Schizosaccharomyces pombe: one gene and its partner. The protein of the gene in region 1 binds, or shares a complex with, the protein of each later gene. Each region holds a gene or a part of one and is shown in the gene's direction. Other genes may lie near its edges. The genes, in order: nup37 and nup120.

Region 1 (11,088 bases):
GAGGGGCCAACTTCTGAATAAATAAATGTCCATATCCAAAATACACCTATGCTGAACATCCAAGTAATAAGTGATATTAAATTCAATCTCTCTTGATTCATCAATATAAAAATGTTGATTACAAAAATAGTAGGAGAGGATATAAAAAGTCCTATGTCTTCTATACACTCGATGTTCCTTCCAGTCCAACTTACAAAATCACCAAACTTAAAAACAAATAGAGCTACCCCAAAGCATACCAATGATTGATATATTCCATCTAGCATGTAAGACCTAAAATAAATATTTAGCAAACAGAAATCTTCAGAGTTATACTTACCAAAATCTCTTTCCGTTCCATTCTAGACCTAAAATTCCCCGTTGGTATAAGCTTGGATTTTTCATTGAAACAGATGCGTCAACGTCCTGGTCAAAACAACCTGCAATAATTACGGGTAGTGATGTGAACAGCAGATTAAAAAGCATCACGTAGGTATAATCAAATATGTAGTTTCCATCAAACTCGTTATAAAATTGATACCAAAAAAGTATAAATGTCCAAATAACATTTTTGTAAAAAAAGAATGAAATCATTTGAGACATTCTTTTATAGTCCCATCGTCCATGAACTAGAAGTAGTCGCCCTAGGAAAGAAAATTGACCGATGGCATAATCCGCCGACATTGAAGCTGCTTGCCCTTCAACGCCTTTTATCCCTACTCCAACGTCGGCTTCTTGAATCATCGAAACATCATTAGCGCCATCTCCAATTGCTAAAGTGACAACATTTAGACTCTTCTTGACTAAAGCAACAACAGCTGCCTTCTGAGAGGGACTAACCCTGCAGCACAAAACTGTCTTACACTGCTTACATAACATTAAAAAAAGAAAAGAGACCTGTTCAGACAAAACAAAGTTCAGGGCATCCCCATCAATAACTATGGCGTGTTTCGGAGATGGCGGACTGTGGTCTTTCAACAAAAATCTGAATTCTTCATCCGTTCCCATGTATCCAAAATTAAAGCATAATGTGTTTCTAATAAAAGCTTCTACTTCTTCTAAGGCACCGAAAGAGTTTGCATCAATTCGAAAAATAGTCATGTTTGGATCAAGAAGATTGCATGAATACCCAATGTTGATTGCCGTTTCTACCTTATCACCAGTCAACACCCACAACTTAATTCCAGCAATAGCCAAAAGAGCGATAGTTTCTGGTACATTCTCTTGAAGTTTATCTTCAATTGCTGTTCCACCGAGTAATTCAAGCTCTTGCTCAATCATCTCTGAAACTTTACTGACCTTTTCGTTCCGTTCATGAATGGCACTATTAGCTTCGTTGAAATTCACTTTCCATTCAAGATAATCTTGCTTATCAATAGTTCGACGAGCGATACATAACGTACGAAATCCTTCGGATGAAAATGAAGCTAAATGCTTCTTCGTCTTTTCAATGATATTGTTTTGTCCGCTGGAAAGCCTTGGAAATATTACCGTATCCGCACCTTTACAAATTAAATGAATTATACCATCCTCATCACGAATTATCACGCTCATACGCTTTCTCGTAGAAGTAAAAGGGATTATATCCAAAACTCGAAAATTCTTATTTTCACCCCTAATGCGAATAGTATAGCGTCTGTTTTTTGTATTTAGAAGCGTAAACCCGAAATCACGAGCAACTTTCACTAATGCTTCTTCGTCTGGAGACTGAGCATTGTAAATAAGTGTTTCGTCTTGGACGTCTGTTACCACAGAATGGCAAAGAGCGAGTGCTTTAAAAAATTCGAAGCAGGCTTCAGTTTGAATATAATTTTCGTTGGATTGCAGATGGTCGACGAATTTACTTGAAATGAAAGTGATTGATTCTGGGTTAGGTGAGTCGCTTAAACTTAATGTCTCAAGCATTTTCTTTTTATCCAAGTCAACCTTGCATGATAAGTTTTCATTGTAATTTAAATTCCTTCGTTTTTTGATGCATGTATCTTCATTGTGACTTTTGCCATAGCGAATACCGTTAATTGAACATTTTTTAAAACTCATTATATTCTGAGTAAGAGTTCCGGTTTTGTCTGAAAATATGTACTCTATTTGTCCAAGGTCATCGGATATGTTCCACGATTTCGGAGAACAAGGACAGTCTAGTTTTTCATCATACATCTCTCGATCACTAAAAATAAAATAGGACTGTATGCTTCTAACAATGTCCATAGTGATATATAGAGAAATCGGCACTAAATTTTGAAAAAGAATGAGGGAAGTGAAAATGCTGATGATGCCATGCGCAGGAGCGGTGTTTGAATTTTTTGATAGCTCAAACACCCTTGCAGAGTTGTTCTGAGCTGAATAGATAGAGCGTAACACACCAGAAAATAAACACATAGCAAACAATAATAGAAAATTGAGAATTATTGTCCAATTCAAGTCACGAGTAATGCGACTTCGTTTAGAAGGAGTTAACCCTCGATTTTTCTGTATGCGAGTTTCTGATCCTGTATATAAAACAAGACCAATAACCCATTTTGAATTTCTCAGAGTACACCCACACAGTAGAACGTTAGAAATACTAAAAGGTTCTTCATGTATTTTTCTTCCGTTTGTACTCTCAGACGGTGATTGCACAGCGCCGGGTGCTTTGACGACACCGTTCAAACTGTACAGATCAGCATGAGGCTGTTCACATTCAACCCAAAAAGATGCCGCACTACACCTATACTCTGATTTACAGCATTTTGTTGAGCATAATGCGTATTTATCTTTCAAATTAGTTTCACCATCAAGGTTTTTTGTTTCCACATAGCAAACACCGTTTGAGTTTTCTGTGCTTAAGATGAGCAAGTCAGCAGGAATCGCTTCATCAGCCAAAACCTTAACGATATCGCCCACAAGCAAACTTTTCCTACACACACGCTCAAATTTGGCATTCGATGAGCCTGTTGATTGTTCCTGGATGACAGAAAAGCTGTTGGAAGGACCACTGTTACCAATCTCATGAATCTCAAGACTATCTTGTGAAACAGATGATAAAGTAAAGGCAGAGTCGGATTCGAGACTGTGCCTGTGGGATATATTATCCACGGTTAAGGTAGCGAGCCCAGATGAGATACCGGAATTTTTAAGGCAATAGGACATATCGGCGACGGTATGAGAAATAAATTTTTTTAATTTTCTCCATAATCCAATATGCTCGCCTAATGCATTGGCATTATTGAACCCTACCAATTTCCAAGTTAAGGTATTATTAAACTTCTTATCAAGAACACATCTCCGATAATCCTCAATTCCATCCTTAATAGCTGTAGTAAGCAAAATAACACTCAAAGGAATAAACGATAAGCCCAGGTGCTCGGGACAAAACAACGGAATACATTGAAGAAGAGTGACAAACAAAAAAAAAGCATTTGCTATGTTTTTAAATTGATTCCAAAGATTTTTGGGGATAAACGAAACTGGAGTATACTTGGTTGTGCGAATTTTATTACTAGGAAACCATTGCGATGGTAAATGCCTGTGTTCTTCTGGAATGCTAGTTACGTAAATTCTGCGAACAGAAGCATCTCCACTTTCGGTCCCAGCTTCATTCTTCTTTGATGTAACACGGCTAGTCCATGACTGATCTGAGTTGTTACACGAACCTTCAAAAGAGTTAGCTTCCTCATCATCCCTCGAACGTTGTTCCGCATGTGCTTCTTGTGAAAACTGGCTTTCGTGATGACGAGAAGAATAATCAGTTTGGTTTGTAGGTCCCTCATGAGCTAATGAGCCATTGTGCTGAGGTACATGGTGTAGATGATTAAAAGCACATATGGATAAGCCATGCAAAGAGGATTTCAATGAACTAATAGCATCAAAATTGATTAGGCTAGGCATCAAAGGGATCTACAATTCCTCAAATTCTTCCCAATCAGTTGCAGAATTACGAACGACTGCAACGTTCGACGATACCAATGACACAACTGGGAAATAAACAGAATTGATATCGCTTACGTACAGAATTAGTTCAATTAAGCTCAAAATTCGGCGTAGAGAAAGTCCTTTGAGGAGGCAAAATGGGTATGGCAAGATGATGTGTATTGATGTAATCCTTAAGTGCTGGGGTGTACTATATATACAGTGCAAAGGGTATGGGTAAAGTAAATAAACGATTTCTCAATAACAACAAATAAAGCATATTTATTGTTGTTTAATTTTTTTCGTCTTGAAAAAGAAAACAGAATTGGAAAATTGCTAAGGCACCATAAACAGATAAAGTATAACGTTTTAGTTCATACCCACTAGCGTTGGTAACTAAAACTTACACAAATTTTATATTTTTTGCTTTATTTTTTTTATCTTCATATTGTTAACATGGCGTTTCGTGCTGCAAGAATTGCTTTCGCTTGGAAGGCAACCAATCCTGCTAATACAACAATTCGTCAATATATAAAAGAAACACTGGAAGAAGCACCTGAGAAAATCAGTCAAACTGTCAAAAAAGCAACTGGTAAGGCTTCGAAAAAGATAGATGAAAACAAAGATAAGTCACCACAGGAAATGGCTGAGAATGCAAAGCAATCGGTAAAGCAAACTGCCAAGGATGCAAAAGATACCGACTATCAGCAAAAGGCGAAAGATGCTGGTAAGAAAATAAAAGAGGAATTTAGCCAACGGTCGGAAAACGTACTCGAAGAAACTCGTCGTGAGGGGATGAATCGTGATGGTGGTGTTAAAAAGGAATAAAGAGGATTCCTTGTAAATGAATCGAGTTAATGTATTGAGTGGAAGCTTGTATACAAGCTCCTTGATGCTCTTTATGATTTTAAAGATGCTTCACGTTTGAAAACATCGCTTTCTTTTTGGATTTATATGAACGAACAATGCATGATTTACAAAACGAAGCTAGAAGATTGTTAATAAACTAAAAATCATAGTTCAACGGTTCCTGGCTTTTATTTACAAAATAAATTCAATTTTTGATGATAGCAAAAAAAAAAAATTTCATGATTTAAATAAGAATGAGATTATCGCGAGATGTGTTAATTATATTCCGGTTGTATAGTCTGGTATTCGTGGCAGTGATACTGCATATTTTGCATTGCCGATGCTAGCCTTAGTATGGACTTGACTGTATGTAAAAACTTTATGGCCCACATGCTGTCAACAGCTACTATGGTCAAATTTAAATTTTGTTATTCTATAGGCCGGATAGTTGTATAAAGGCATTGTAATGGATAATGGTAATAATACTCATTTTGGTCAAACACATTCATGCCATTCTACTCCAGTAAATTCAATGCCGCTCGTTGTAAGCATAGCGATAAATCCCAAAGGCTGTTCAAAGCAATAATTTCAAATTTGTATTGCAACTTGCCAACATTTTTAAAGTAAATAAATTCCGTTATTGTACAGTGACATTCTCATGTTATATACGCTCTACAGTCAATAACATAATATCATTCACCAACATGATAGTACTCGATTGTATTATATTTTACTAGTCTTGAAGCAAGAATAGCCATAGCCCTTGGGTTTTTGAAGTTGCCAAGATTTCGGCTCAGAATGAAATGCCCAAGCTAAGATTTCCGAAGGTTTTTTCAAATTTTCAATATTTACTGCATTTACTCCCTCCACAAAATCTGGTTTATACGAGAAGATGTGACTGCTAAAATGATCATTATGCTATAAAAAACCCCATTTGTCGTTTACAATGCTTTACATTCGTTTTTATCCACACTATTCACAAGCCTGTGTCACGGTTTATGTAATTGGCTTGGGGAACGTGTTGGAAAGAATAAAACCGCTGTATACTTCATACGGAACGCAATTATTACTTTTCGTTCTGCAATAAATCAGTGGAATATCGTGTTGGTTTTTTTACATATAGTTTTATTTTGATGTATTTAGTAAACACTCTATTTGTTAATTGAATATAAGTTAAATTATTAAAAGATATTTAGTATAAGTACAAATTTTAGTAATTGCATTAAAATGGTTATATTTATCGTGTTTCATTATCTAAACTGCTTTGTATAGGTTTTCGTTTGATTTTTTGTAAATTAATGGTGGTAGTTTTGGCTCCGTAAGGTAGAACGTTTTCTTCAGCTTCATCCAATTCACGTAACCCACTAGTTACCTGCAACACCATATCACTAGAAAACGTGGCCGAAACTTCTCTTTTTCCATTTGTATATATAAATGCATTTTTAATTTCTTTATCTTTTTATTGTCTGCACAATAAAGCGTTCATTCTTTCCGTTTTTTTTGAAAACTATTTTTCGTCATGACTCTTTCCTCTAACCAGTATCAGTACGTTCAGCGTTATTTCGTTTATGTCTCTTTCTAACTTCTGTTTATTAGATTGCCTCTTAATGTCCGCCCGTATACAACGACTTGGTGTTCCCAGTCTCCTTCCTGTTCAAATCTTCTTGCCATAGGTATGTAAGATATCTGAATGTTACGACGAATGGTAATTTACGTATTACTCATTTCTTCTTTTCTGTTTTCCTAAGTTACAATATTTGAGAAAACCTCAGTGCTAATGAAACAATTATCTTCAAATAGCATTCCTCTAAACGTTTTAAACTAATGATTAACCTTATACAGGCCATGATACGGGTATCACTATTTATTGTGCTTCAGAAGAACAGACGCCCGGATCTACAGGTTTGACATTACAAGAGTTGTTCACTATTCAAACTGGGTTACCCACTTTGCATCTTTCTTTTTCATCTAGCTGTAGTTATTCTGAGAATTTGCATGATGGCGATGGAAATGTGAATTCCTCACCTGTGTATTCTTTGTTTCTTGCATGTGTGTGTCAGGATAATACAGTTCGTCTAATAATTACAAAGAATGAAACCATTATTACTCAACATGTGTTGGGCGGAAAATCTGGGCATCATAATTTTGTGAATGATATCGATATTGCAGACGTCTATTCCGCTGATAATCGTCTCGCTGAGCAGGTGATAGCATCTGTGGGCGACGATTGTACGTTGATTATATGGAGACTGACTGATGAAGGGCCTATTTTAGCTGGATACCCATTGTCTTCCCCTGGTATTAGTGTCCAATTTCGCCCATCTAATCCTAATCAATTGATTGTTGGAGAAAGGAATGGTAATATTAGGATTTTTGACTGGACTTTGAATTTATCAGCTGAAGAAAATTCTCAAACCGAGTTGGTTAAAAATCCATGGCTTTTGACTTTGAATACCCTGCCACTCGTTAACACCTGTCATAGTAGCGGCATTGCTTCCTCTTTAGCTAACGTTCGATGGATCGGAAGTGATGGAAGCGGTATACTTGCAATGTGTAAAAGTGGGGCTTGGCTTCGTTGGAATCTTTTTGCTAATAACGATTACAATGAAATCTCGGATTCCACTATGAAATTGGGACCCAAAAATCTACTGCCCAACGTGCAAGGCATTTCATTGTTCCCATCCTTGCTTGGTGCTTGCCCACATCCCCGTTACATGGATTACTTTGCTACGGCACATTCTCAGCACGGCTTAATACAGCTCATTAATACATATGAAAAGGACTCGAATTCAATTCCTATTCAATTAGGTATGCCCATCGTTGACTTTTGCTGGCACCAAGATGGATCACATCTTGCTATAGCTACGGAAGGATCTGTTTTGCTTACCAGATTGATGGGGTTTACGAGATTATGAGGGTATAGAACAATATACTTAACATCGAACTAAAATAAACGGGTTCAGGAGAGGAAATTGTATTGAATAAATATTAATGTTCATAGTTAAACCAAAAAGTAGTATTTGCTATGTATTAACATCGTGTAAACGCTGTTACTTTTAAAAATTTTAAATGGATGTGTTGCTTTCGTAAACAATTCGCCTTGGTTCAAATATCGCCTTTGATATTTCAACTTCCAATAACCGATATGCGATTTGAATTGAATCTTCTAAATGTTCGTTACAATGATAAAACCCATTATTTTTGAGCATAATATTTTTCCAGAATCATGGATGCCAGTTTTTCGAAAGATGGATTGTGTAGCCGCTGTTGCTGAATAGCATCTAAGGTTTTCAGAGGAACAGAACCCTCTTCCTCACGGTCAAGGTTCACTAATTCTTTCATTATATGTAAAAGCTCGGCATTACTTTCAATTAAATTTTTTATGCTAGGATCTTCGACAATAGATTCCAAAAGACTTTCACTTGGCAATGCCTCTTCTGCTAAACTTGGGATTCTTCCATTAACGTAGATAACATTAGGAGAAGGTTCTGGGGGGTTTAAAGGTTCTTTAACTCCTTTGAATGTTGTTGTGTTATTGTCATTTACAGTCTCACATTGACTTTGGTGGATTTTCCAGCAAGGTAATGAACAACTATTAATTCTATATTAGTATTTTTAGGAAACAGAAAAAAAGAATAAAGCATTGGTTCATGGGTTAATGTGTATTGAAACAAAATGCATTGTTCTGAGCTTACAAGCACATACTAAGGAAATGAACACTTCGGGCATTTATATTTTATTTCTGATTCGTTGCATATTGAACAAGTTGTCATGATAGCGTTTAAATTTTTCTAATGTATTAGAGGAGAAACCTTTTTTTTTAGACAAGCTCAAACAAAATAAGATTAAAGGGAGAAGAGCAATAGAGTAACGTCAAACCTTGCTAGTTCAAAATACAGTTAACACTGAATAAAAAGGCTCTGGTTTTTCCCTCTTTTGTGATATGTTCGAAAGCTATGGTAAACAGTAAAATAATATTTTTTTGAATATTCTCAATATAAACTATCTCTGCATCTCTAGCGAGTACATTTTTTTAGATTAGCATGGTGGATTTACTTATCGTTACCCCTCACTATATAAAGCTTTTTAATGATTTTCTGGTTACGAATTTTAGTGACTTAGTCGTAAATAGTTTAAGCTTTTTAAAAAAAGTACTTATTTAAAGGAAATAAATTATGAATCTTTCTTTGGGAAGGATCAAAGCGCTGTTGTAAAGTATCCTCAGTTTCCAATTTTTTGTTTATAGCCCTCCCTAACGATCTTAAATGATAAGCAACGTGTTTGAATCACAACCTTTCATTTTTTAATATAAAAGGAAGTATCTGATAAAATCTTTAAGGATATGCTTGTATAATGCTGAGACGTTCTTAGAGTCATTATTCAAAAATATCTACTTAATTGCGTATATTAAAGTTAGCAGATGAAACATCGAATCATGTATTTAAAATGCTAATTGATTTACAGCTCTATTTTCCAGAATTTTTTTCTAAAAAGGAAAATAGTAAATCATTAGTTTATCTAATTAGCTAAATTGTTGACGTTCATGTCAATGGGTAGGCAACATAGCTTAAGTTGATCAAGAGCAAATGTTTTTGAGCAAGGTAATATCATTGCTTTATTAGAAGCTTAAAAATGGTTTAGCGTAACAAATCGACACAGAAAACTAAAATAGATAATAAAAAGATTTTAAGCAGGGTTTTTCGATGAAGGTATATTTGGTCTCAATTCACAATTTTTATTTCAATTGATTGACTGTTATTACTTAACAGATAACGAAAATTCAAGTTAAACATACGCAATTATAAAAATAGGTTAGCCTTTTTTTTTCTATGCACTTTAAATCCGTTAATTAATTAATTGTTGTAGCCAGAGCTCATAAGATTTGTAAATAAATGAAATCTATTCGAAATCGCAATCATTTAGTCTTATTATTCATAACAATGCAAAGCACGCTAAGTCGCTAGAATAAACAAGTCATACAGAACAGAAAACATCCAACTAGTACAATTCTCTGCACGAAATCATTATAGGCGGTTTTAAAAAAAAAATAATAAAAATCATAAAATTCATTATATTCCCTGCCATATGCTAGTCTTTCGGTTATTGAACCGTTTACTAACGTATAAGTCTACTAGACTTTTCTAACGTTAGGGATACGTGCTCCACTGACGTATGAATTAGCAATATGGAAAACCATGCACATATATATAATACACAACTGATAATACATATCTGCCTACCACATACCACCAAATTTAAAGGTTTTTGTTTGTTACGTTATTAGAACCATGTCTAGTGTTGAATCATTTGTACGTATCCGTTTGGCTAGAATCAGAGATTAACCACAATGTCGCTGAATTTTGGTAAAATGTTCTTTTACAGGGTACTAACATTTCTGTATAGGTTGACTCTGCCGTTGCTGACAACGATGTTGTTGTTTTTGCCAAGTCTTACTGGTACGTTTGCTTAGTAAAGTAATCGTTGCATAAGGGCGTGTATTTGTCACACTGGCTTACCATAGTTTGAACGCTTGTATTTTTGTTTTAACAAATTACACTTCCATATGCCTAGAACCGACTACTTAATTTTTTTTGTTAAGCAGTGATATTAACTCTTAATTTTAGCCCTTACTGCCATGCTACTGAAAAGGTGATCGCTGATAAGAAAATTAAGGCTCAGGTATACCAGATTGACCTTATGAACAACGGTGATGAGATTCAATGTAAGTTTTTATTGCATCTGTTGTTTTGCTTGATGCTAGTTTAGATCTGTCTATAATATAATAGACCTTGAGTCTGTATAAAATGGATGGTATAAAAAAAAGCATACTAACCTCCTTGATTAGCTTACTTATTGAAGAAGACCGGTCAACGTACCGTACCCAATATCTTTATTCACCAAAAGCATGTTGGTGGTAACTCGGATTTCCAAGCATTATTCAAGAAGGGCGAGCTCGACTCTCTTTTTAATACTGCCTAATGAAATTCTATGAGCAATAAATTTTTTTCTTTAAATTACATATCTCAAACTGAAGAAACCTGTATTATAAAGCTCTTAAATCTAAATCTGTGGTATTTTAAAGCTAATGATAGAACTTAGATGCAGCTGTTTTTCCTAGCTACTAACTACAACATAGCACATAAATTTTGCTTTTATTTTGAGTAATAAATCACTCGAGAAATACTGCTCTTTTCGATTACTTTATTAAGTAACTCATCTGTGCACAATTTGTACTAGCTGATTTAAATTTTTGAAAATTTAATTATTGAACTGGTAAAACAAAATCAAGGAATATTAATGCCATTTTTATCCTTTATCATTAGACCTCTGTAAATTCGAAGAGTTTCTGAACCTATTCTTGAAAATTGGGTT
Region 2 (13,041 bases), on another chromosome or scaffold:
TGATAAGCAGGATATTCTGGAAGACTTCTACCTAAATCCTTTTCTATTTCCTCTAAAGAAAAAGATGTTTGACCAGAATACACTTTAAGAAGATGATCATATTCATCTGAATTCTCTAAACGAAAGTACATGGAGCCTGATGTAAGCTCCCATATTTCACCACGAAGTTTATTGGGCAATTCAATTCGGACCAATTTGGAGAAGAGAGAAACTCTGATTAACGAAAGATTTGCACCATAAAGTAAAAAATACTCTTTCCACATTCGTAGCTTTGCCCGTTCTCTAGAGATTCGAGGATCGGTGGGATAACCATATCGAGCACCGAATCCATAAGAATCTTTAGTTTCTGGTTCGGGAACATTGGGTTTGCAAAGGCGTTCAGAAAAGAACTGTTTGCTAAACTCGGAGGACCGCTGCATATCAGCTTTGTGAGATACAAGCTCTTCTCTCAGTAATTGGCAAAAATGTGCAGCAGTGGTTTCAGAAACCTGCAGAGATATTCTGTATTCGTAACCATTGCTTGTCGATACCGACAACAATTGCTCAAGATCATTGCTTTTCACTCGACTAACTTTTCGAATTATAGTATATGGCATACAAAATTGATTAGACTCATCATCACCTTGAAAAGCTATATAATCAGTAAATAAATAAAGCAGACCATTAAATGAATTAGGGTCTTCCAAGTTATTATAGTGGACAAATCGAAGTTGACAGGGCAAACTGTAGAGGGCAAATTGAGATTCAAGAAGTCGAAACTTCCATCGTAATTTGTTTAAGTTTTTTGAGGAATCAGGAAGTTTTAGCTTCGTCTTTATAAGACTGGCTAAAGAAGACATAGCTAGGCTTTTCTTCGAACTCAACAGCTAGTCTTAAAAGCCAATACCTGAAGGTTCTTGAAGCAACTATTTCTTAATATATCAACAGTTATAGAAAAATAAAAAAATGTTCAATTTTAAATCAGAATTTCAAAAGATTCAGTGTCGATAAGACAAAAGTAGATGCAATTTAGCAAATGACCCAATTCTAAATTACTCGATAGATCTCAGGGTGATAGATCCCCTTTTTTTATCTTTCCTGTTATTGAAAACTCTATAGAAGGAAAGAAAGCAAAACGTGTTGCCAAGCAACACTTATTGTGTAAGGGTAAATTTTACACCACGTTCGAGTAGTATGCAAGGCACCATTTCTTGATCTAAATAAAGACGTAAACCCTTGCGGTAGTGTATCGCTAAGAAGTGAGTTTATTTAGTAATAGTGTAATTACTGAGCTGGAAAAAATGAATATATCTCTCGAATATGCAATTCTGACGATATCAGTGCTGGATTAAAAACTATTCATTGACTAGATTCTTAATAAAGTTAAAAGCAACGGGATCACCCACAAACGATCTCATGCTTATCATTTGTAACTTTGAATATCTATCTATTAGATTAGGCTGATTGAGTAATGTCTTATACTATGGCTTAGTTCGAACAGGCTAGCTGCTTCCAATCAATACTTTATTAGCAAGTTTGTTATTACATATCTATTTTATAAAAAACAAAAAAATCATCTAAACTAGTCAAAATTCCTTACTAATTTGTAATACAGAACACTAGCTTAACTTCTACGAATACTTGAAAAGGAGGCTTAACCGTTAAAGCACATATCAACTTTCGGAACTTTAATATTCTATAAAACTAAATGATAGAATACATACCTTCCACTTGGTTCCACTTTTAACTCTTAAAGAAATGCTTTTGAGTAATCTTTAGAAGGAAATATCAAAATTCTTTAACCAGTTTGGGTGAAAGCTATAGTATTAAAGAGTAAAAATTTTATTTATAAATGTAAGTAAAAATAGGTACTATGTTGTGATAGCAAATCACTAAACAATAAACCCAAACCACACAAAAACATTGGATTCAAGTCCCCTCGGTAAAAATATAATAATGTACCCATAGCCCAAAAAATGCAATGAAACTTTTTACGATCTGTCTTTGACTATTAGTTTGCAGAAAAAAGCATCTGCACAGAAAGACTTCTGGTTCCCCTGAAAAGACTGAAAAAATCCAATAATACCACAAAGGACTTTCCAGACAAACATTGAGAGTTTAAAAATAAAAAAAAACCCCGAATTGGTCATTAAAATAATATAGGTGAAACGACGTATTCGTATGCTCCTTGCTATCATCTTTGACTAGCTCCTCTAGTCGTCTCCCTTAACAACACCAACCTTGGCAGGACGAATAACTCTTCCATTCAATTGAAAACCCTTGCTTTCGCAATGGAAGACAGTGTTGGGCTTTTTACCTTCAACAGGGATTTGGAAAACAGCTTCATGGATGTTAGGATCAAAATCTTCTCCGATACCGTCATAGCGAACTAAACCATATTTTCCTAAGGTTTTCATTAAGTTCGATTCAGTCATTGCTAAACCTTCATAAAGATCAACTAAATCCTTGTTGGACTCACGATTGTTACGCTTCTCCTCTGGAACAATTGAAAGAGCACGCTCCAAATTATCGACAGAATCCAAAAGATCCTTAGTAAGCTTTTGAACAGCAAATGCACGTGTTTGCTCCATGTCTCTCTTCATGCGGTTTTCCAAATTACGATAGTCAGCTAAGCTTTGGCGAATGCTACCCTTTAACTCCGCAACCTCTTTGTCCTTTGCTTCATATTTACTTTTAAGCTCAGAAAGCTTAGATTGAAGTTCCTTAACATCAACATTCTCTGTTTCGGCAACTTTTTCTTCAGCAGGCTTTTCTTCCTTAGCAGCCTCAGTTGAGTACCAAAGGAAACTGCGTTTATTAATGGGTGCTCGAATAAGCGTCCGAGGACGTACAGCGGATGAAAATACTCTTCCAAGCCCAAGCATTGTTTCAGTGAGAGCTTTGTGGTAAAAGACAACTGTGTCACACTATAGACAAATGGTGTTGTGAACTTAGCACTGTTAAATTTTACAAATATCAATTTCATCAACTTAAAAATTCGTTATGTTTCGTTAAATGAGGTATGGACTTTGAGATGGAAGCTGATTCAAAAAATATATAAATGACACTTTTTTCTCAAATTAAAGCTTCTATTTCGATATGTAACAAATTGATTGTAGGTTTGAACATGCATGTAGGAAAGCAACCCAAATTTCGAATTTGCTCAACACTGGAAGCCAACAACGGCTCATATGCTTATCAATTATTAATTTATTCTTTTCAGCTTCATTCTCAACAGATAATAATTAACTGATTTCTCATCTATATTTATATCCTTCTTGGTATGCTTTACGGCATTGGATTATATCGAAGTACTTACTTCGCAGCCTTTGAAAGTAAAATAATTGAATATTATAATTTAAGTTTTAAAATAATCCTATTTGTGTCATCTGGGCCATCTTATTATTTTTACATTCATCAGTTTATTTGCATAATGATATTTGTTGAACAATTTATGGGAGTCGAATTTTCACAAATTCCTATTATAATAATATCATATTCTTAATTACAGAAGTCTTCATAATAAAAGGTACCTTAGTTAAGTGTCAGATATGTCTTATCGGTATTGGACCTTACACTTTCATCCACCATCACTACTTAAACTCAGGAATACATTTGAGGATTGTAGAGGCAGAGCCATAGCTTTCTGTTAAATATTTATCTAAGCTTTGTGAAAATTTACGATTCAACCACTGAACACTTTTAATCGCCTACTAGTCCAGAAGTTGCGCTTTCAAGTAGCACCATACTCTCCTATTTTCCTGCTTGGACGTTTACCTAGATTTTCTAAATACTTATCTCTCTAAATCATGTCTTCACAATCATATCGAGAACGGACACTTGTTTCTGTAATTGGAGACGATGATACCGTTACTGGGATGCTTTTAGCTGGAACTGGTCAGGTAAATGAAAACGGTGACAAAAACTTTTTTATAATTACTCAGAGTAAGATTATCTGTTAAAAAATGGAATCGTGTTTTCGCTAACTTGCTGTTTTATGTAGAGACTACAGATGAGCAGATTGCTGAAGCTTTTGATGATTATACTACGAAAAGGAAGGATATTGCGATTGTATTGATTAACCAGTTTGCCGCTGAAAGAATACGTGATCGTATTGAAAACCATGTGCAGGCATTCCCTGCTGTATTGGAAATTCCTAGCAAAGACGATCCTTATGATCCTGAAAAGGACAGTATCCTCCGTCGTGTTAGAAAGATCATTGGAGAATAGACTATTAATATTTAATTATATTTTTTGAGCAATAATTTCAATTAGTCAACAACTCGATCGATTTGACTGATGACACTTTTATATTTGTATCTTTTGGTTTACTTACTGGCATACTAGCAAAAAATTGTAAGCAGAGTTTTTGTTAAACTATATTTGATAAATAGAAAAGTGATTATAAGAGAAATGTATTATTTTAAGTATAAATCTCATTCAACATCAAAACTGACATTACAACCACAAGAAGTCTTGGCACGTGGATTGTTTAAAAGTTGAAAAGAGGAACCAATAAGTTCATTTGTATACTCAATTTCAGAGCCACTTATCAAAGGTAATGAAATGTTGTCAGCAACAACCCTGGCTTTTCCACGCACAAATACCCTAGATATTTAGTCAATAACCAGGAAATACTTAATTAAAACTTATAGTCTTCTTAACCACATCACTTACGTGTCAGCATTTCCAATTTTGTTGTCCATGCGAAAAGATACTTGATATCCATGGCATCCACCACCATCGACAGTGACGCGCAAAACAGAGTTTTCTTCTGGTTTCCTTTCTGCAATTTTTTCTAACTGTTTTTTCGCTGAATCTTTCACGTATAAAATAAAAGGGATTCCCTTCTCGTCACATTGCTCTTGAAGCGTGAATTGGTCGTTCGCAAGCTTTGAGCTATAAAATCGATTTTTGATTTTGAATTCATTATTTATTTTGGGAAATATTTCTTTCGTTAATGTATTCGATTTCGCATCAATTCTACATGATCGAGAATTTCTAAGCGATCCATGCGATAGCTGTCGAATTGCGATCACAGGATTTAAGAGTGTTTGAAAACAACGTTCTCGAAAGAAAAATGGTCCTTTAAACAATAAGTTTACTCGCGATTTCATAAGCATCACTGCAAAGTATTATAGCCACAAGTTAGGACTTTCTAACTTGTAAACATACAGTAACGTAATAGAAGTCAAATTGCCTACGCTCTGTTTCGTTAATTCAGTATATTCCAAATTGGTGCTTATGTTTATGAGATAGAGAAGTTAAGTACATAAATGAAATAGTCATAACTTGACGAGTGTGTCATAGACTAAAGTCAAATTCAGGGATTTACCTATTAGTTAACACCCAATCTCTAAGAGATTTATATCGGATAGATTGAATTCGAACTTACAAAACTCTCACACCCATAGCTAGTAGAGAATAAGGGGAATTTATCAAATATATCTAGAATTATTTAATGTTCTTTTTTACTTATGTTGTATGCTACTAAATTTTGTGATGATTTATAGTCAAAATTAATATCTTTGGATTATTTTTACCTTTTGGTACTCCTACTCCTTTAATTCTCTTTCAGTTTTAAATGAATAGATTTTTAGCTATTAGAGATAATTTCAACCCATTTGGTTAATTCTTCTTCTGGATATTTATTGTCGATCCTTTAATTCTAGCATAGACCGGTGGATCACATCCAGAAAATGTCTTTATCACAATTGATGCCATTGCTACAATCTTCTACTTTAGCTAATTCTTTATCGTGATACCAGTGTATGTACTACCGCTTAATTACTATAAAGTTGCGGGTGTTCGTACAAGCACATATCACCGCAATTGTAATATTGAATCAGGTATAAGAGATCTTGGCTATTAGACTTAGAATTGGTTGTATCTGCAATAAAAAAAATAAATTATAAATTGCATGCCAATGAACAATAATTCACCCTTGCACGTAATTAATATTTATTAAAATGTAATTTACAATTTAACGTATGGTTGAAAATATTACATGTTTTATTTACTAAGAATTTGCAAAATTTAAAAATAAACAAAACTAGAAAATTAGAAAACTATTTTATTAAAAAAGATTGAAAGGCTGTAAATTAAGACCCTAAAGATGAGTACTGTTAATTTAAATAGATTTAATCTCTTAAAACAACAGCTAAAAAGTTACAGGTATACAAAAAATAATAAAAAAAACTAACAATAATCTAAGAAAGGCTTCTGATATCTTGAAGATCTTTTACTGTTGTATGTAATTTCACAAATAAAATAGAGAATCCATTTAAGCTCTTGAGTTTTAAATGAATATTTGATTCCTTTTTTATTATTATGAATACAAAGGAATTGCTCGATTAATAAAAACTATCAAATTGTTTAGCTTTCTTCATCCACAATCAAATGATTCTATTTTATTAAGGAACTTAATCTTCAAGAAGAAAATTCAGTTTTACATTCCATCTCCCTCTACCCTAAAAAGCTAAAGAATTACAAATATACTCGTATTTACGCGTTTCTCATAAATTCGTTGTAGGACTGGCCTGTCTTACGCTAACTCGTGTAGGTCGTTGTCTACGATACTCAACCAGAACTGCCCCCTATTGTTAGCTATTTGTTTGGTATTTCTACTGGTATTACCGCTACCAGTAAAAAATAAAATCAAAATATGAATGAATTAAAGCATGCGGTAGTTCCGATAGACTTACAATCTTTTTGTCTGGAAGGAACTTTGGCGTTGTGGGTTCCAGCTCTCGAAAACGACTCGGAAGACGATTCTGAAGCTATAGAAACAGCTGATGATAATGAAAAACTTTTTAAAAAGGAATGTGTAGCATATGATGCAGGTGTTTATACCTCAAATAAAAGCAAAGGTTCACAAACTTTACGATGGAGTATATTCCAAAACAGAACACTCACTATCTTTGATGTTTCATTAAATTCTAAGAAGGAGCCTTTATCAAAATTTAATGTGAAAATTCATTTTCCATCCAACGTAATGAAGGACGGTGTAGCTTTCTCGTTCAGTGAGCATTCCGACACGACCATTATATATGCTATTACTCACGCTCGCGTTTTGTATTATATTAGATTATCTAAAACTTGGTTCCAATTACCGGACGCTCGCTTAGACGACGATTGGTGTCTTTGTTACCGACCAATATCCTTTCTGAATCAAAAACCCGATTTAATGGCCGCAATTAGCACGTCTGAAATTTGTGTAAGCTTTTTCAATGGAGGTTTAACAAAGATTATATTAAATCCAAAAGACGCTAGTCACTACGAACAGCATATTGATGATTCTAGTTATTTGTTTTCCCTAAAAAAATATCTATCACTTCAGGCATTTAAGGCAGATTACCGCTCTCCTAATACTATTATTTCAATGATTTTTTTGTCTACCTATAATGTTCTTGTGATGCTATCGCTTGACTATAAGTTAAAAGTTTTGGATTTGTCTACTAATCAATGCGTCGAAACCATTGAACTGTCACAGACTATACTTCCTCTACAATCCTTTCCTTATTTAACTTCAGATCACACCACTAATTCTTTCATCGCTCTGTATTACCCAGATAATTCTCATGGCTCTTTTTCAATTTACAAACTTAACGCAAACGCCCACTCTTTTAAATTAAATGTTGTCATCGAGAAGGGCATAATTCCTCCTTCTTTACCAGACGATGAGTTCATACCATGGATGCTTTCTGATTTTCAACTGATATCGTCAGAGGGCTCTCAATCTAAATTTTTGCTCATTATTGCTTGGAAAAGCAACTTAAATACCGTTATCCAAAAATGCAACCTTAGTCTAGATCAGGACGAGAGTTTTTCATGCGTTTGGAGTCACTCTTTGGATAGCTTTTCCCTCATAGAAAAAACCTTTTTTGACGTTCCAACAAACATGTCGTCTGGGGATATCTCAGAGATTTGGCTACAACACATTTTTGCACATAATACATCTATTGAGTCTATACAAGTTGCTCTTTTAAGCTTTCAAAACAGCTCCTCGCAAGTTTCAAAAAATAAACTGGATAAATTTGGCGCACTTACTATAAGTGAACTTAAAAATGCCGTTTTGTCGTCTATAGTTTCAACGATCCAAATAGAGCCAAATTCAGATTTAACTGGATACGATTATTATGAATATAAGCGGCTATTATATAATGAATGGGAAAGGTTTGCGAAACTTGTTGCATATCTGGATCATTTTGGAGATGAAATATTAAGTATTAACTTCGATCCTTCGAACGCTGTTACATATATCAATTATGCAAATAAAGTGGCTTTTATTAGGGATCCTTATCTCATTGAATCCTTTGACGAAGAGCCGTTGACCAAATTAATTAGTTCCCTTGAAACAGATGATCCTTCTCTAATTGAAGGTTATCAAATTCTGGATCTTGGTAGGAGTTTACATTCCTGTATGTCATTTTCTACTTTATCTGAAATTAGATACTCATTACGAGAACTAGTCCAGGATTTGCCATCTTATTCTTTATTTGATACATTGTGGGTATTTTATGACAAGCACATATATCCCAACGTCGATCCAGATTATATCAGTACTTTAATTGATACTCTAGTTTCTCTTGAAAACCCGATGCGCGACATTGATTCTCTTATCCAACGCTTAAGAAGTTTCGATATTTACAACCATTCCGCTCAATCCCCTTCCTTATTTTTGTGTGCATCGGTAGCACGGGTTTTGGACAGTATTTTGAAAAAGTTTCAAGTCTCTATTGAAGGATTTATTTTTCTACTTTCTTTGATAACTAGCCAGCAGGATTATGAGTTACAATCCAAATTTGCAGGATGTGATAAATTATTTCTTTCTTTACTAGAAGATTGGCGTCTTGTGAGTTTTCTTTTAGAGAATTCTGCACTTTTGCTAGAAAAATTTGAGGAGGAGGATGTTGATTCAACAAACTGTAATTTAAATACTATGGAAGCTTTAGCAAGTGTTAACACAGCCCTTCAGTTTTTTTCCGCTTTGAATTATTCCGAATGTTTCTCAGAAAGCCAAATTTCACCTTTACATGCTACCGTGATATCGTCTTTGTCGGCAATCTTTATAAGGGACGATACGGAAAATGATCTGGTCACTGAACTTGTAGAAAAGTTGTTTCTATTCAAACAATATAATGCATGTATGCAATTAATAGGGTGGCTTAACTCTGACCCAATTGCAGTCTACTTGAAAGCACTTATTTATCTCAAATCGAAAGAAGCTGTTAAGGCTGTCCGATGTTTCAAGACTACTTCTCTAGTCCTTTACTCACATACTTCTCAATTCGCAGTTTTACGGGAGTTTCAAGAAATTGCTGAAAAATACCACCATCAGAACCTATTATCGTGTTATTACCTTCATCTATCAAAAAAGCTGTTCGAGGAGAGTGCATATATAGATGCATTAGAATTTTCTTTATTAGCAGATGCCTCGAAAGAGACTGACGACGAAGATTTGTCTATTGCAATTACCCATGAGACTTTAAAAACCGCTTGTGCAGCAGGAAAGTTTGACGCTGCTCACGTTGCATTGATGGTTTTATCCACTACGCCTTTGAAAAAGTCATGTTTACTAGACTTTGTAAATCAATTAACGAAACAAGGTAAAATAAATCAGCTTCTAAATTATTCAATGCCAACGTTAAGACAGGACGTCGACAATTTGCTTGAGCGAAAGGCCTTTCAAATGATTAACGTTGAATCACAACCATGCTGGTATAATATTTTGTTTAGTTGGCGGTATAAACATCAAAACTATCGAGACGCAGCAGCAATTATTTATGAAAAACTGAGCCGGTATATCTCTACTACAGAATTAATTGGAAAAAAGGAGAGAACTTTTATAATAGAACATTATTTGATTGTTTTGAACACTCTGGAGTTGCTTCCGAAAGAAGATACATGGATTCTTGTGACAGACATGTCCGTGGACAAGGAACCTGACCCTAACTTTCTTCCACAAAAATTACTTACTCTAGATGCAATTGTAGCAGAATATCACTTACAGTTGAAGGATGTCGCTGTTCAAGTTACAGCTGAAATGTCATCGGCCATGAATATCGATTTATAAAGGCAACAAAGAATTATTTACGCAGCTTAACCTTCTCATTTAGAAAAATCCAGAAAAAAAGCAATATGCTTGGCAGAGTTTTAGTAATTAAATCATCTTTAGTTTCATTGAGGCGATGGGTAGCCATAAATAACTAACTTCTTTCTATAAAATTAAATTCTGAATATAAATATACTTTCGATAGCATTGGTATTTACATATCTTTAACGAATTATAATTCCGACCTTTTTGCTGCAGCTTGCCGCAGTTTGCTAATTAGTGTTGTCCGTTGGGAAATATTGTTGAGATACGGCTAGTATCGGCAGAATGTTGGAACCAACAATAATTATATATTTGAATTTTTATTTCCTTATTTTATAACATTTTTTTGAAACTTTTGGTTTCAGATTAAATAATTCTCTATTAATAATAGTGTACGGAAATTGCACGCCGTGTGCCCGAATTTAAATTTGTCGGGTCCCGAAGGAATGTACAAAACACCAAGACCTGCGAAAACTGATTCTCAGTGAATTGGGTATATCGGTCTTGTAAAGATCTAATTAATGAACGTTTACCAATGTTATTGAACTGAAAATATCGTTATGAGGATTTTTACTCTTGGAAAAGGCCGAATTTCACGAGGGTATGCTCGGCAAGTTAACCCTTCATTATTTGCCAAGTACAGCTACTGTATTGCCAATAATCCTTGGTATTTCATTCTTGTGTTTACTCTTTTATCAATCACAGGTATATATTCGTCGTTGGTAGCGTATCAGCAATCCCTTTACGATCAATCATTAGCTAGATGGTCGGCTTGGTATGCCGAGAGCATCAATGCTGAAGCAAATGTTATTACGAAACAACTCTATCTTTTAGGAACGAACACATCAGTGTTTTCCGAAGACTATCTTTCAAACGCGTATCGTTGGGAAACAAGCTTCCATCAATATTTGGCGGAATACGGGTATCCTTGCATAAGAGATGAAAAATCCTGTGTAACTATTTCTCCAATACCAAAATATTATGGTAAGGTTGATCCTGTAGCTCAATATTCATATACTAAAGGGCTTCCTGAAAATGAGCGTGAAGTGAACAAGCTTAGGAATGATACAATAGCCGAAGGTTTTGACTCGCTTAGTGCTTTTGTGATTACTTACTTTTTAAAGCCTGAACAAGTCGATACTTTTCATGTTGTTTTAAAGAAATTTATTTCCGAAACTCCTAATCTATATGCAAGTTTACTTGATACATCCCCTACCACTGTCGTAGCACGTATTCCTGACCTTACTGTTATTTACAGATGGTACCTATGGGTTGGGTTTGGAGTCGGACTTTTTGCATATTTGTATTTGTCACTTGTGCGGTTGCATGATATTCGTGCTAAATTTGGTCTTACAGCGACTATATTTATTCAAAGCGGTACTGCCTACTTCTCTACCTGTTCTTTGCTGTATTTCTTTGAAAGAACGGGCCCCATATGTCCATGGCCTATGGCTTACTATATTATCATATTTATGGACATTGAAAACTCGTAAGTTTTTTTGCTATACTTCGTCATTATGTGAACGTTTTATTACTAACTTATCAGATTTCGACTTTTACGCGCAGTAATCGCTTCTCCTCAGACGAAGCGTGTTCCTTCTCGTATAATGGAAGGGTTTTCTAGTACTATTATTGCCTCCTTTTCATCCTTACTTAAGAAGTTATTGACTCTTTTTGTCTTGAGCTTCTTTGTTTATCCTCTGGTGCAGGAGTTTTGTTTGTTTCTTGCCTGTTCTTTCGTCGTTAGTTTTTTACTGCATGGAAGTTTTTTTCTAGCGGTCCTAAGTGTCGATATACGTCGTTTGGAGTTGCAAGATTTTTTAGATTCAAACTCTTCTAATCGAAACTCAAAATGGTGGGTTCCGTATCTAGAATACGTAAGATTCATGTGGTCTCCATGGATTATCGATAATCTTGGTACTGTTTCATTTCATATGTACGTTATTTATTTACAACTCCAATCCAGTACAGATATCAATGGGTCTTGGAGATTAGCATCTCCTAACATTCGCTTTCTCATTACGTTATATCATCGTTTAGGCCGTATTTTACGAGAACGAAAGTTATTTCCACTGATTACGACCGGTTGGTTTGGTGACCCCACTTTTTTAGAAGCATTAAAAGAGAAGACGATGGCGGAAAACCTTGTTATTGCTTTGTATCGACCAGTTATTCTTGACACTGTTAACCGTCGTGATTACACTAATGTCTACAACTCGTTTCATGACCGGAGAGTATGGAGATGGTCAACATTTTTCAGCATACTGTTCGCAATTGATTTTGCGGTTGGGTTGCTTGTTAAAGCACTTTTGCGAGGCTGGTCTGACCATGACGAGCTTTCAACCGATACAACATTACATGAGGAAAAATTCAGAATAGAACCCGTTCCTGTTCATCATCAGCTTGACATTTTAAAAATTGCTGTATCTGAAAACTATAAGACGTTTGCCTCCGTCGGGTTAGATAGGTGTCTTGTAGTTTGGGATTTACGTCAATGGTGTACAAAGCTTGTACTTTCAAAAGAACAAATGCCCAGGACGTTAAAAGCAATAGCTTTAGATCCTCAGGGAAACTACGTTTCGTTGTTCTCAAAGGATACTTTATTCATTCTGAATGTAGAATCTCCTTGCTTGATGCTTCAACATTCCTATCACTGTAAGCCAAATAGCAAATTAAACGTGTTCTGGATGCCGGGTACGCATAAAGATGATGAATGGAAAAACTTTGAGCTAGTGGTTGTTGAAAGCTCAGGCGAAATTCAGGTTTTTAGTCTGACTATTGAAATTGAAGGTGCAGATATAGCTTTGGTTGAAAAGTTTCAATTAAGTTCTCCGATTATTAAATCAATAAGTATCGTTTCACCCACGGCTAATAGAATTGCTTGTTTGACTGAATCCGGTGAAGTGACTGTATATTCTAAAAAAGGACCCGTCTGGTCCCCAAAGATTTTATCTCAAAACAAAAAT

The links.
Region 2: the proteins of nup37 (region 1) and nup120 are in contact, whole or in part, in a crystal structure (PDB 4GQ2), measured with the Schizosaccharomyces pombe proteins. Residues at the interface, in NP_594761.1 of Schizosaccharomyces pombe: Arg15 (codon at 6,329), Tyr17 (codon at 6,335), Leu71 (codon at 6,666), Gln107 (codon at 6,774), Lys130 (codon at 6,843), His134 (codon at 6,855), Phe136 (codon at 6,861), Asn138 (codon at 6,867), Asp162 (codon at 6,939), Asp163 (codon at 6,942), Cys164 (codon at 6,945), Thr165 (codon at 6,948), Pro182 (codon at 6,999), Leu183 (codon at 7,002), Ser184 (codon at 7,005), Gln199 (codon at 7,050), Arg205 (codon at 7,068), Asn206 (codon at 7,071), Asn208 (codon at 7,077), Arg210 (codon at 7,083), Asn231 (codon at 7,146), Pro232 (codon at 7,149), Trp233 (codon at 7,152), Leu234 (codon at 7,155), Leu235 (codon at 7,158), Thr236 (codon at 7,161), Asn238 (codon at 7,167), Leu240 (codon at 7,173), Pro241 (codon at 7,176), Leu242 (codon at 7,179); in NP_596674.1 of Schizosaccharomyces pombe: Val409 (codon at 7,868), Pro410 (codon at 7,871), Thr411 (codon at 7,874), Asn412 (codon at 7,877), Met413 (codon at 7,880), Ser414 (codon at 7,883), Ser415 (codon at 7,886), Gly416 (codon at 7,889), Asp417 (codon at 7,892), Ser419 (codon at 7,898), Glu420 (codon at 7,901), Asn468 (codon at 8,045), Leu471 (codon at 8,054), Ser472 (codon at 8,057), Val475 (codon at 8,066), Ser476 (codon at 8,069), Ile478 (codon at 8,075), Gln479 (codon at 8,078), Ile480 (codon at 8,081), Glu481 (codon at 8,084), Pro482 (codon at 8,087), Leu486 (codon at 8,099), Thr487 (codon at 8,102), Gly488 (codon at 8,105), Tyr489 (codon at 8,108), Tyr491 (codon at 8,114), Tyr494 (codon at 8,123), Lys495 (codon at 8,126), Tyr597 (codon at 8,432), Glu601 (codon at 8,444).

What each region holds. Positions count from the first base shown.
Region 1 is NC_003424.3:4,864,265-4,875,352, forward strand, and holds nup37 (nucleoporin), read left to right. Parts: upstream 1-6,079; 5' UTR 6,080-6,235; coding exon 6,236-6,261; exon of another isoform or gene 6,262-6,312; coding exon 6,313-6,389; exon of another isoform or gene 6,390-6,462; intron 6,463-6,558; coding exon 6,559-7,631; 3' UTR 7,632-7,762; downstream 7,763-11,088. Other genes in the region: SPOM_SPAC4F10.16C (P-type ATPase), read right to left, coding at 1-273, 320-3,846; SPOM_SPAC4F10.17 (uncharacterized protein), read left to right, coding at 4,324-4,695; hit1 (HIT zinc finger domain-containing protein), read right to left, coding at 7,912-8,308, 8,422-8,489; glutaredoxin Grx1, read left to right, coding at 10,005-10,025, 10,120-10,172, 10,341-10,438, 10,562-10,695.
Region 2 is NC_003423.3:4,012,370-4,025,410, reverse strand, and holds nup120 (nucleoporin, WD repeat Nup120), read left to right. Parts: upstream 1-6,560; 5' UTR 6,561-6,643; coding exon 6,644-10,054; 3' UTR 10,055-10,185; downstream 10,186-13,041. Other genes in the region: SPOM_SPBC215.01 (GTPase-activating protein), read right to left, coding at 1-839; GrpE domain-containing chaperone mge1, read right to left, coding at 2,193-2,864; vma7 (V-type ATPase V1 subunit F), read left to right, coding at 3,789-3,924, 3,983-4,209; Fe-sulfur protein Isa2, read right to left, coding at 4,416-4,587, 4,657-5,102; Sre1 cleavage-activating protein Scap Scp1, read left to right, coding at 10,636-11,564, 11,622-13,041. UniProt on the Schizosaccharomyces pombe protein: Functions as a component of the nuclear pore complex (NPC).